2 linked regions of the Nothobranchius furzeri genome follow. The protein of the gene in region 1 interacts with the protein of each later gene in a pairwise test. Links are inferred from orthologs where the notes say so. Each region holds a gene or a part of one and is shown on either strand. Other genes may lie near its edges. The genes, in order: serine/threonine-protein kinase 4 and sav1.

What was found.
Region 2: the proteins of serine/threonine-protein kinase 4 (region 1) and sav1 interact in binary tests that used the Homo sapiens proteins (3 or more experiments, as listed by UniProt). The link is inferred for Nothobranchius furzeri from reciprocal best matches to the Homo sapiens genes STK4 and SAV1.

The regions. Positions count from the first base shown.
Region 1 is NC_091743.1:73,698,680-73,702,507, reverse strand, and holds part of serine/threonine-protein kinase 4, read right to left. Parts: intron 2,139-3,828; coding exon 1,993-2,138; intron 1-1,992. UniProt on the Homo sapiens protein: Stress-activated, pro-apoptotic kinase which, following caspase-cleavage, enters the nucleus and induces chromatin condensation followed by internucleosomal DNA fragmentation.
Region 2 is NC_091758.1:19,778,227-19,782,548, forward strand, and holds the start of sav1 (protein salvador homolog 1), read right to left. Parts: upstream 3,020-4,322; 5' UTR 2,867-3,019; coding exon 2,773-2,866; intron 1,703-2,772; coding exon 1,226-1,702; intron 1-1,225. Other genes in the region: nin (ninein), read right to left, coding at 4,065-4,280. UniProt on the Homo sapiens protein: Regulator of STK3/MST2 and STK4/MST1 in the Hippo signaling pathway which plays a pivotal role in organ size control and tumor suppression by restricting proliferation and promoting apoptosis.

The sequences.
Region 1 (3,828 bases):
GTCAGTATTGTTCACAACATTGATGTTTATTTTATGGTTTGAGGCAAGAATATAGGAAATAAATATTGCAATGTGATTAATGAGGAAGTAAAAAAATAAACCGCTTTTAAGTAAAGTTGAGTAAGAAACATTACACTATTTTTTGTCATCTTCCAGTAAGGAATAAATATAGTTGTGTCTTGTTAAAGCTATGGGCATATTTAGAGGTTAAAATGCTTAAATATCGATGTATATTTCATGTGTTCAGAATAAAACTGTAAAAGCTGTTAAAGAGAGCTAAAAGTAAATATCTTTTTGATACAACTAAAAATGCAAGAGTTCTTAGACTAGGAATCAGAGTAATATGACTTAAATGGAAAAAGCTATCTGTGAAATCCTGACTGTGATATGGTCTTGCATGTTTATTCAGTTATGTGAGTACACAGAAGGAGAATAAACCTTCATGTTGAATGCTAATAGAAGCTCAGCGTGTGTGTCTCATCTTTTCTGTTATAGCACCACACATTGAGACGTTAACTATCACTTACCCTCAGACTTCCATAGGCTGACGGGTAACATGAGTCTAAAAAACTGACTAATTATACTGAAACTGTTAAATCAGCATTTTAACTGATGATCAGATATTTTTATACAAGCAAAATAAATAAAAACAGTCCAACAGCAGGACTAAAATTCTGGTCCACTCTGGAACATTTCAGAATATCAAACCACACAGTTGGAAAGGCTGTTTTTCTCATGAAGCATTAAACTATTGCATCATTTATGTACAAAGTGTGTGTATTATTAGAGTATAATTGTTTTATACTTAAAATTCTTAGATGTGATGTATTCATGGGGATAATCATCCAACCCCAACACCTGAGGGTTCAAGAAGTGGTGAATTAAAAACGATCTGAAGAGTCAAATGTGAGTCAAGCAGCAGCTACCTGTCAGTGTGTGAAAGTGGAGCAACTTCAAATCCACAAAGGCAAAGATCTGAGCTCAAATAGAAACACTGGTGTGTGTTTTTACTCGAGCACACGGGCTTTTGTTCTGTTTTTAGAAACACTTAGACATTAACCAGGCCCAAAGCTATCCATCACTTTGCGGTTACTTAAGATAATCATATCTGAATAATCATCATTTACAAAAGCAAGAGTTTTTTTCCACGTTGTGCATATTTATCAGCATCCTCTGTTTGTGTTAGTAAAGTTTTTGTTTCTTTATCTGGATACTACGTGATTTATCAAACCATTACTCCACATAGGCTGAAATAAATGATTAAGCTACTCCACATATTTACCTGTCAACTAAAACTCCACAATCCTGACAACCTCAGTGAAAACATGGTAGAGTAACTATAGAGGAATTTCACTTGTAACAGGTAAAAATATCCATAAATATAAATATTTTGCTACGTTTTCATGACGAGCAAACAGCCTTTCGGTGTATGTCCAAAGGTAAAAGGCAGCAGTGTGAGCTGGTTACATACTAAAGGTCACATGTTTAATATTTAATTCATGTGGCAGCTGTTGGTTCTGTGTAAATGTCTCAGAGCAACGCAAACACCAGCTGCTTTTCACACTAATAAGACCTCCGAAGAAGCAGGTTTAGCTTAAAAACACACCTCATGTCTGATAGCATCATTACATCAACAGAAATCCAGAAATATTAAATATATATAAACAGATGCTGCTAAATTTGGTATTATCAAAACTGTTGAACACATAGTATCTTAATCAAATGACATTTTTTATTTGTTTAATACTGGAGTTTTAATGCTCATAACTTCGACTCAACAGTAAAAACACCAGAAGTCTTTGATGTTTTATTTTTATTTTTTACCAATAGGTGTTACTGCAGTAAGTCATAGCTCTGATCCACAGACATTACATTCACAGATGCTGATTGGCCCAAAATTCTCCAGTTCTCCCTAGCAACCAAATGCTATTAACTGTTCAGCTGCAGTTCAGGAGCAGCGCCCCAGGAGTGAAACTAGCACCTCCAACTCACCACTTCCAGATCTCCTTCAGGAGGGAGTTTACGGTTGTCTGCATTGTTTTCTTTGCGTCCATCGTTGTGATCGTTCGCCTCCTTTTCCTTCTGCTCAAAGTACTCCAGGAAGGACGGTTTGGCTGGTTGCATGGTCTCATCTCTCCCTGTGTGACACACAACCAAAACCACATTTAAACAGTCAGGAATACACATTTTGCATTGCTTGGTTGTTTTAAAAACACAGAAAAAGGAGTTATTGACAACATCGGCACAACTGATGATGGCTATAGTAATTAGCCAAAATGTTAGCAAAACAAGTGAAGAACAACGCCTTTTTTCTGTGTTTTAAAAGAACCAAGCTATGCAAGATGACTAAATACACAGACTGAACGTAGAGAACAGGAATACACATCTTTAATTTTTTTTATTCAAATAGTTTCCAAAGGGAGATGAAAAATAAAGTAAAGATGTTGCAGTGTTTTCAGCAAAGCTTCGGGGTTTAAAAAGCTGATGATGATGATGATAATAATAATAATAATAATAATAATAATAATAATAATAATAATACTGAAGGTCTGAAAAAGGGTTGACACTAAAAATGATCAGTGACGTAGGAAACAAATATTCTGGTTTAAATGCTATGGCAGCAACAGGAGAATGGATGTTCGTGAACACATTTTAAGTTGCATAGTCTATTTAATGCTTTCTTCTAATAATATTCTCTTTAATGATTACTTATTTTGAATCACTTCACAAATGAAGACACTGGTATTCTTTAACCATTTTGTGATTAAAGTGAAACTTGCTTTTATATTCAAAGACCTGGGGATGACCCGTTAACTTTATAATTTATAACTTTTTCACAACGGTAAAAAGCCCACAGTTAGCTTCTAAAGTAAATATTTTAGTGCTTTCTTCCTCCTAGACAAGGAAAATATTCCATCTGTAAAATATTAACCGATCCTAGATCCTTAACACTTTCCTCTGTGTTCCATAAAACGGTTACCAAATCTAAAACATATAGGCGTTGAAAAGCAGGTCATTAGTTGCACTTAAGATTCGATTGCTATTGTGTTTAATAAACTGTGCAGCTGCAGATTATTGCACAACAAACTGGAAGTTTTGCAGAAATAATTTACCTTTAAGAGTCATTGAGTTACGTTGTTTTAGCAGGAAAACAGAATAAAAGCATTTAAAGATATCAAGGCAATGCCAAAAGGGGGCTTCTAAATGTGTAGTGAGCTCAGGTCCAATAGAAAAGCAATTATTCTATTTAATACAGTTCAGATAGCTGATGCAAGAATTATACAAGTGTCCCTCCAACTGAATTAAAGGAGGAAATGATTATTTTACTACTAGTCTTTTTCAACAACACTTGTGGTCAAGTTCACACCTGCATGATAAAAAGGGCCTTTAGCATCAATAAAACATGTGCAACAAATATTTCCTGCATTTAAGGACATAAAGATCAACAGATTAATTGAAGTAGACTGCATGTGTGTGCATTAGTTACTGTTGCAGAGTAATCACATGTGTGATTATTAACAGTGTGAAACAGCATGCATGCACGAGTGTGTCAGGGTATTGTTGTTACTGTGACAAATACAGTGTTAGTGTGGTTCAGGGCTGGATTCATGGCTTTAATAAGCTATGGTGTTACAACATGAAAACGCCCCACAGCGTATCATGGTGAGTACACAAATAATCCTGAATGGTGAAAAAAAAAAAGTATATTCTCTACGTCGGTTTCTTCTTAACCAACAAACGCAGCAAAATGCAGCACCGTAAGGAAATGAGAGCTGCTTTATGACTGTACTTAAACAGATTTATGACCAATAATGTGCAGAAATTACT
Region 2 (4,322 bases), on another chromosome or scaffold:
AACAGCTAGCCCGAGCTAGGTTTATGCGGCAGGGGGCGGTGGGAGCTGAGCCCAATTCTTCAGCTGGCAGAGCTGCAAAATCAGTTCATTTCCAATTTTCTTATTTGTCATGGCGCTGCTACAGCTGATATAATTAATGACTTCTGCCCATCTGTCTCTGCTCAGGATTTATCGTAATAACTCTAAGTGGACTTGAAAGCAAAACTTCTCATTTTTAAAAAAACGTCAGAATTTTTCTGACTGCACAAACCGTCGTGGAGTTACGGTTATTCAAACAAACGCATCTAATGTGTCAGAGTTCAGTGTTAGGGTGATGTTTAACATTAAAGGGGTCCAGAAAATCATCGCAATTCCACCTTTTCCTAAGTTCAACAACTTTTCCTTGTTCAGTAGTAACAACTGTAACAAGTGGTGAGAATTTTCTACCTGAAGTCATTTTAAAAAGGCAGCAATCCACTTTGGTTTGTGCTCATGTTAGCCGTTAGCCAATCAGCCCTATAGGAAGTACATTACTTCTCCAAACAGAGGATGTTTAACACACATACCCATTTAAGAGTCGAGTCAAAGACTCTGGACAAATTATTAGTCTGCCAATAGAAAGGTATTAAAAAGCTCAGCATCTCTCCAACATGGCTCCATGACTCGAGCGAGGTGGATCTGTCGTCATAACACGAATACAAGTTGTCAACAAGACAACCGCAAAATAAAACGTTCTCTTCTGTTTGATGAAATACAGAAAATTCCTGCGACCTCAGAACACTTTTAATCTCATGAAAATGACACGCATAGAACAGATTATATAGTATAATGTTGGGCAATGGGATGGAAATATTTTAACTCTTAGAAAAACTAAACTAAAACTGCTTATTTCAGCTTGAAAGCACGCGGCTTGTATTTGTGGTTTAAAACTTTCCATAACATTCAACCATACACCAAAGCTGCCTTTTTACACAAGCTGCACATTTCCATAGGACCCTAACGTTTAAAATCTTAAAATTGACCTCTAAAACATATCTATTTAAACTTTGTGGTGCCGACTGCCTGGTATGATTTTAATTATCCTGCTCTTGTTTAAGCTTCTTATTTAAACCACAAATGTTGCTGCTGACAAGTCATAAATGACCCGCTTCAAGAATGTGTGTGCCATGTATAAAATACACCTGCTTCTAGACATATTGCAAACTATTCCTTTCAAAAGAACACAGCAAATGCATGCCAAGCTTACCTGAGGGGGGTCGGCTGGGAGCTGGGGAAGCGTGTTGGTGAGAAAGTCTTTGAAAGTTGTGTTCATTGTGTTCATAATATCTATAGTCATCAGGAAAGCATTCCTGGACTCTCCTAGGCTGGCGCTGCTGCTGGTTTTCATAATAAGGGTCAGATGGGTAGTAGTACAGAGCACCGTCCCCGTTCTCAGACATGGGACTCACTTCTGTGGGGAAGGATTGCGACGAGCCCCTGTACTCGTGGGACAAGTCTCCCACACTCCGAGGCAGGTATGGAGGTGCCGACAGGCGGTGGCTCTCTCTGCGTGCCACCTCATGTGGAGGCCTCTGTACAGGTGTGCGGAGGACACTTTTGTTACGGGACACCACAGCCTCTCTGTTGGGTGCCACAGAGTAGGAAGTAGACCCAATCTCGGATGGGGGCCCCTCTGTTCGTCTGGGAATAGTAGGTCCATGACGGATGAATGAGGGCATGAGATCTGCAAACAGGTAAGTGGGAACATCATGAATGGTGAACACAGCATCTCCAGCAAAGGGGCGATGTGGTAAACCCAGGATGCAATGGTTGGCAATGTTACATTTTACTTGAAAATTGTAAAATTATCTGTAAAATAAATAAACTATTTAGGTTAATTTAACATGTCATGAGACTTGTGATGAGAATAATTGCAGATTTAATTATCTTTCGTGTGTGTATAGGAGGAAGGCTCAGATTTACTACACATGGATATGATTTGTTATCTAATCACAAACTTTTGATCCAATTTAATAGCTATAGATAAGTAACACTGCCTTAAAACAGATGATATTCTGCAGCAGAAACATTTCTGAAGAGTCTCAGCACATCAAGACATCCCAACATTGTTGGCTAGCATCAAATTATTTTACTATTGACAAGTTGTACTTTGTTCTGGAAATAGGCTGCACTGTCCAAGTATAGCTCCATAAAACACTTGATAACATTTTATTTTGTGTCATTTCAAATACATACCTGCATATCTGAAAGAGCAGAGAAGCTGCTGCACTTTAGACACCGACAGAGTCCGTTTTCTTATAGTTCTTGAGGACAAGTCCTCATATTTGAAGGAAAACCTTCAAACTGCAGGATTCTAATGCATTTAGCAGAGTAGCAAGTTTTAAATGTTTTTAAACTTCATTGGTGACAGTTTTGCGTCATTACCAGAAACTGAGTACTCTGGTCTTTAAAGTATCCTTTAAAGAGCAGACTCCATAAGTTCTGATGACTATTTACACAGCCCAGCAATTTATTTAACATTTAATTTGCTTTATTGGTGCAACTAATCGACTTAAAACTTCAAATGCAGATCAAGTCCATAGCCTTCAGCTAACAGCAAACTACAATGTAGCATCCCGTTAGGGTCGTGCGTAAAGTAAGACAAATTAAAAACGTAAAAAACACAAGATAAGAAGTGTCCATAAACTTTATTCTGTTTTTTTAAATGAGCAGTTTACTAGCGGACAGTGGCAAACTTCAGTTAGCAGGCTAATGCTAACCCTAGCTAACTAGTCGACTACTTGTTGCGCTTACTTCTGAGGAGCGGCGACGTTTCCTTCTTCACATATTTCCCGTGTACCTCGGCTGGTTTCGACGCTTCGTTTTTACTTTTCTTTCGTGAGAGCATAACTCAAAGCTCAGAAACGTCAAAAACTCGGCTGTGATGTCATGGCACAATCCTCCGCAGCCCTGGCAGGAAACAACGGGCGGAATGTGAACATTTTCTACAGTTAGCGCTTAGCCGGCTAGCTGCTGCTACAGCGAGCGATTGCAGCGATTCAGTCCCACAGCTGGCCCTCCTCACCCGGGCTGGGTGTTTACGATCCTCCCAGCTACTAAAGCGCCCTCTACCGGATAGCAGGCGTACAAAAACGTACAAAGTGTGTTGACAAAACACGAAAAAAATAAAACAATGGACACTTTAACTAGTGCTTTTATACTCTTTATTTCCAAGTTCTCACCTTATTGTAAACACGCTTTGTGAATAATTGCCTCTTTAACTAAACATTGTTAGAGAGAAAAGTTCAACTATAAGGAAAATAAAACCATGAAAACAAAACTATAAAACTTTGAATATGGCTAAATAATGCTAATATATTCACCATTATTTGATTTTTATTAACCACCAACCACAGCTCATACACTTTATTTTCACATCACCCTAATTTCACTTTAGTGTTCATCACTGCAGAGAAAGTCAAGCATTCATAATGGCACCGTCTAACAGTAACTTTACATATTGCAGTATAGTTTCACAAGCATATTTCTATTTTTCTTAATATTACTATTTGACATACATTAAAAGTGTGCAGAGTTTCAAGTAGTGTTAAATAGGAGCAAAAAACCTCCATTACGATTCATGATTTTATCACAAACCGATTCTGGTCCTTCATCGTATGGCTGCTTACAAATAAACAATGAGATAAAAACACCTGTATCAAAATACATAACAGTGCTACATTTCTCATATTATATATATATATATATATATATATATATATATATATATATATATATATATATATATATATATATATATATATATATATATATATATATATATATATATATGATACAACAGTTTCTACTTTAAGATATTTGTAAAATAATAAATTACAGAGAAATAAAATGTCTAAAATATGACTTGATATTTGCAAGTTCAGCAACTTAGAATAACAAAAATACTGCAAAAATCCAAGTAAAAAATTGCAATAGAACCTTCAGATTCTTGTCCATTTGGTAGGATTTGCTACAGAGGTGTCCCTGAAGGTAAAAGTCCATTTTACATAGAGAACATTAAAAGAAAATGAGATGCTGAGATGTCATCATGCGTATTTACAGTTATAAGAAAGCCCTGGAAGATAAGACGGGTTTAGATCCCGTACAATCTTATTCAGGGTGGAGATCTTCTCCTCCAGCAGGTAGTTCTTTTTCTCTGCAATTTCATGTCGCTGCTCAGTTCTCTCCAGAGCCTTTACCAGATGGGAGTTCTCCACATACAGGTCTTTGATCAGAACATCAGCTTTGCCATTCTTGTTCAGCTAAGAGAAAAAAAATACATAGAAAGTTACAGATAGTTTGAG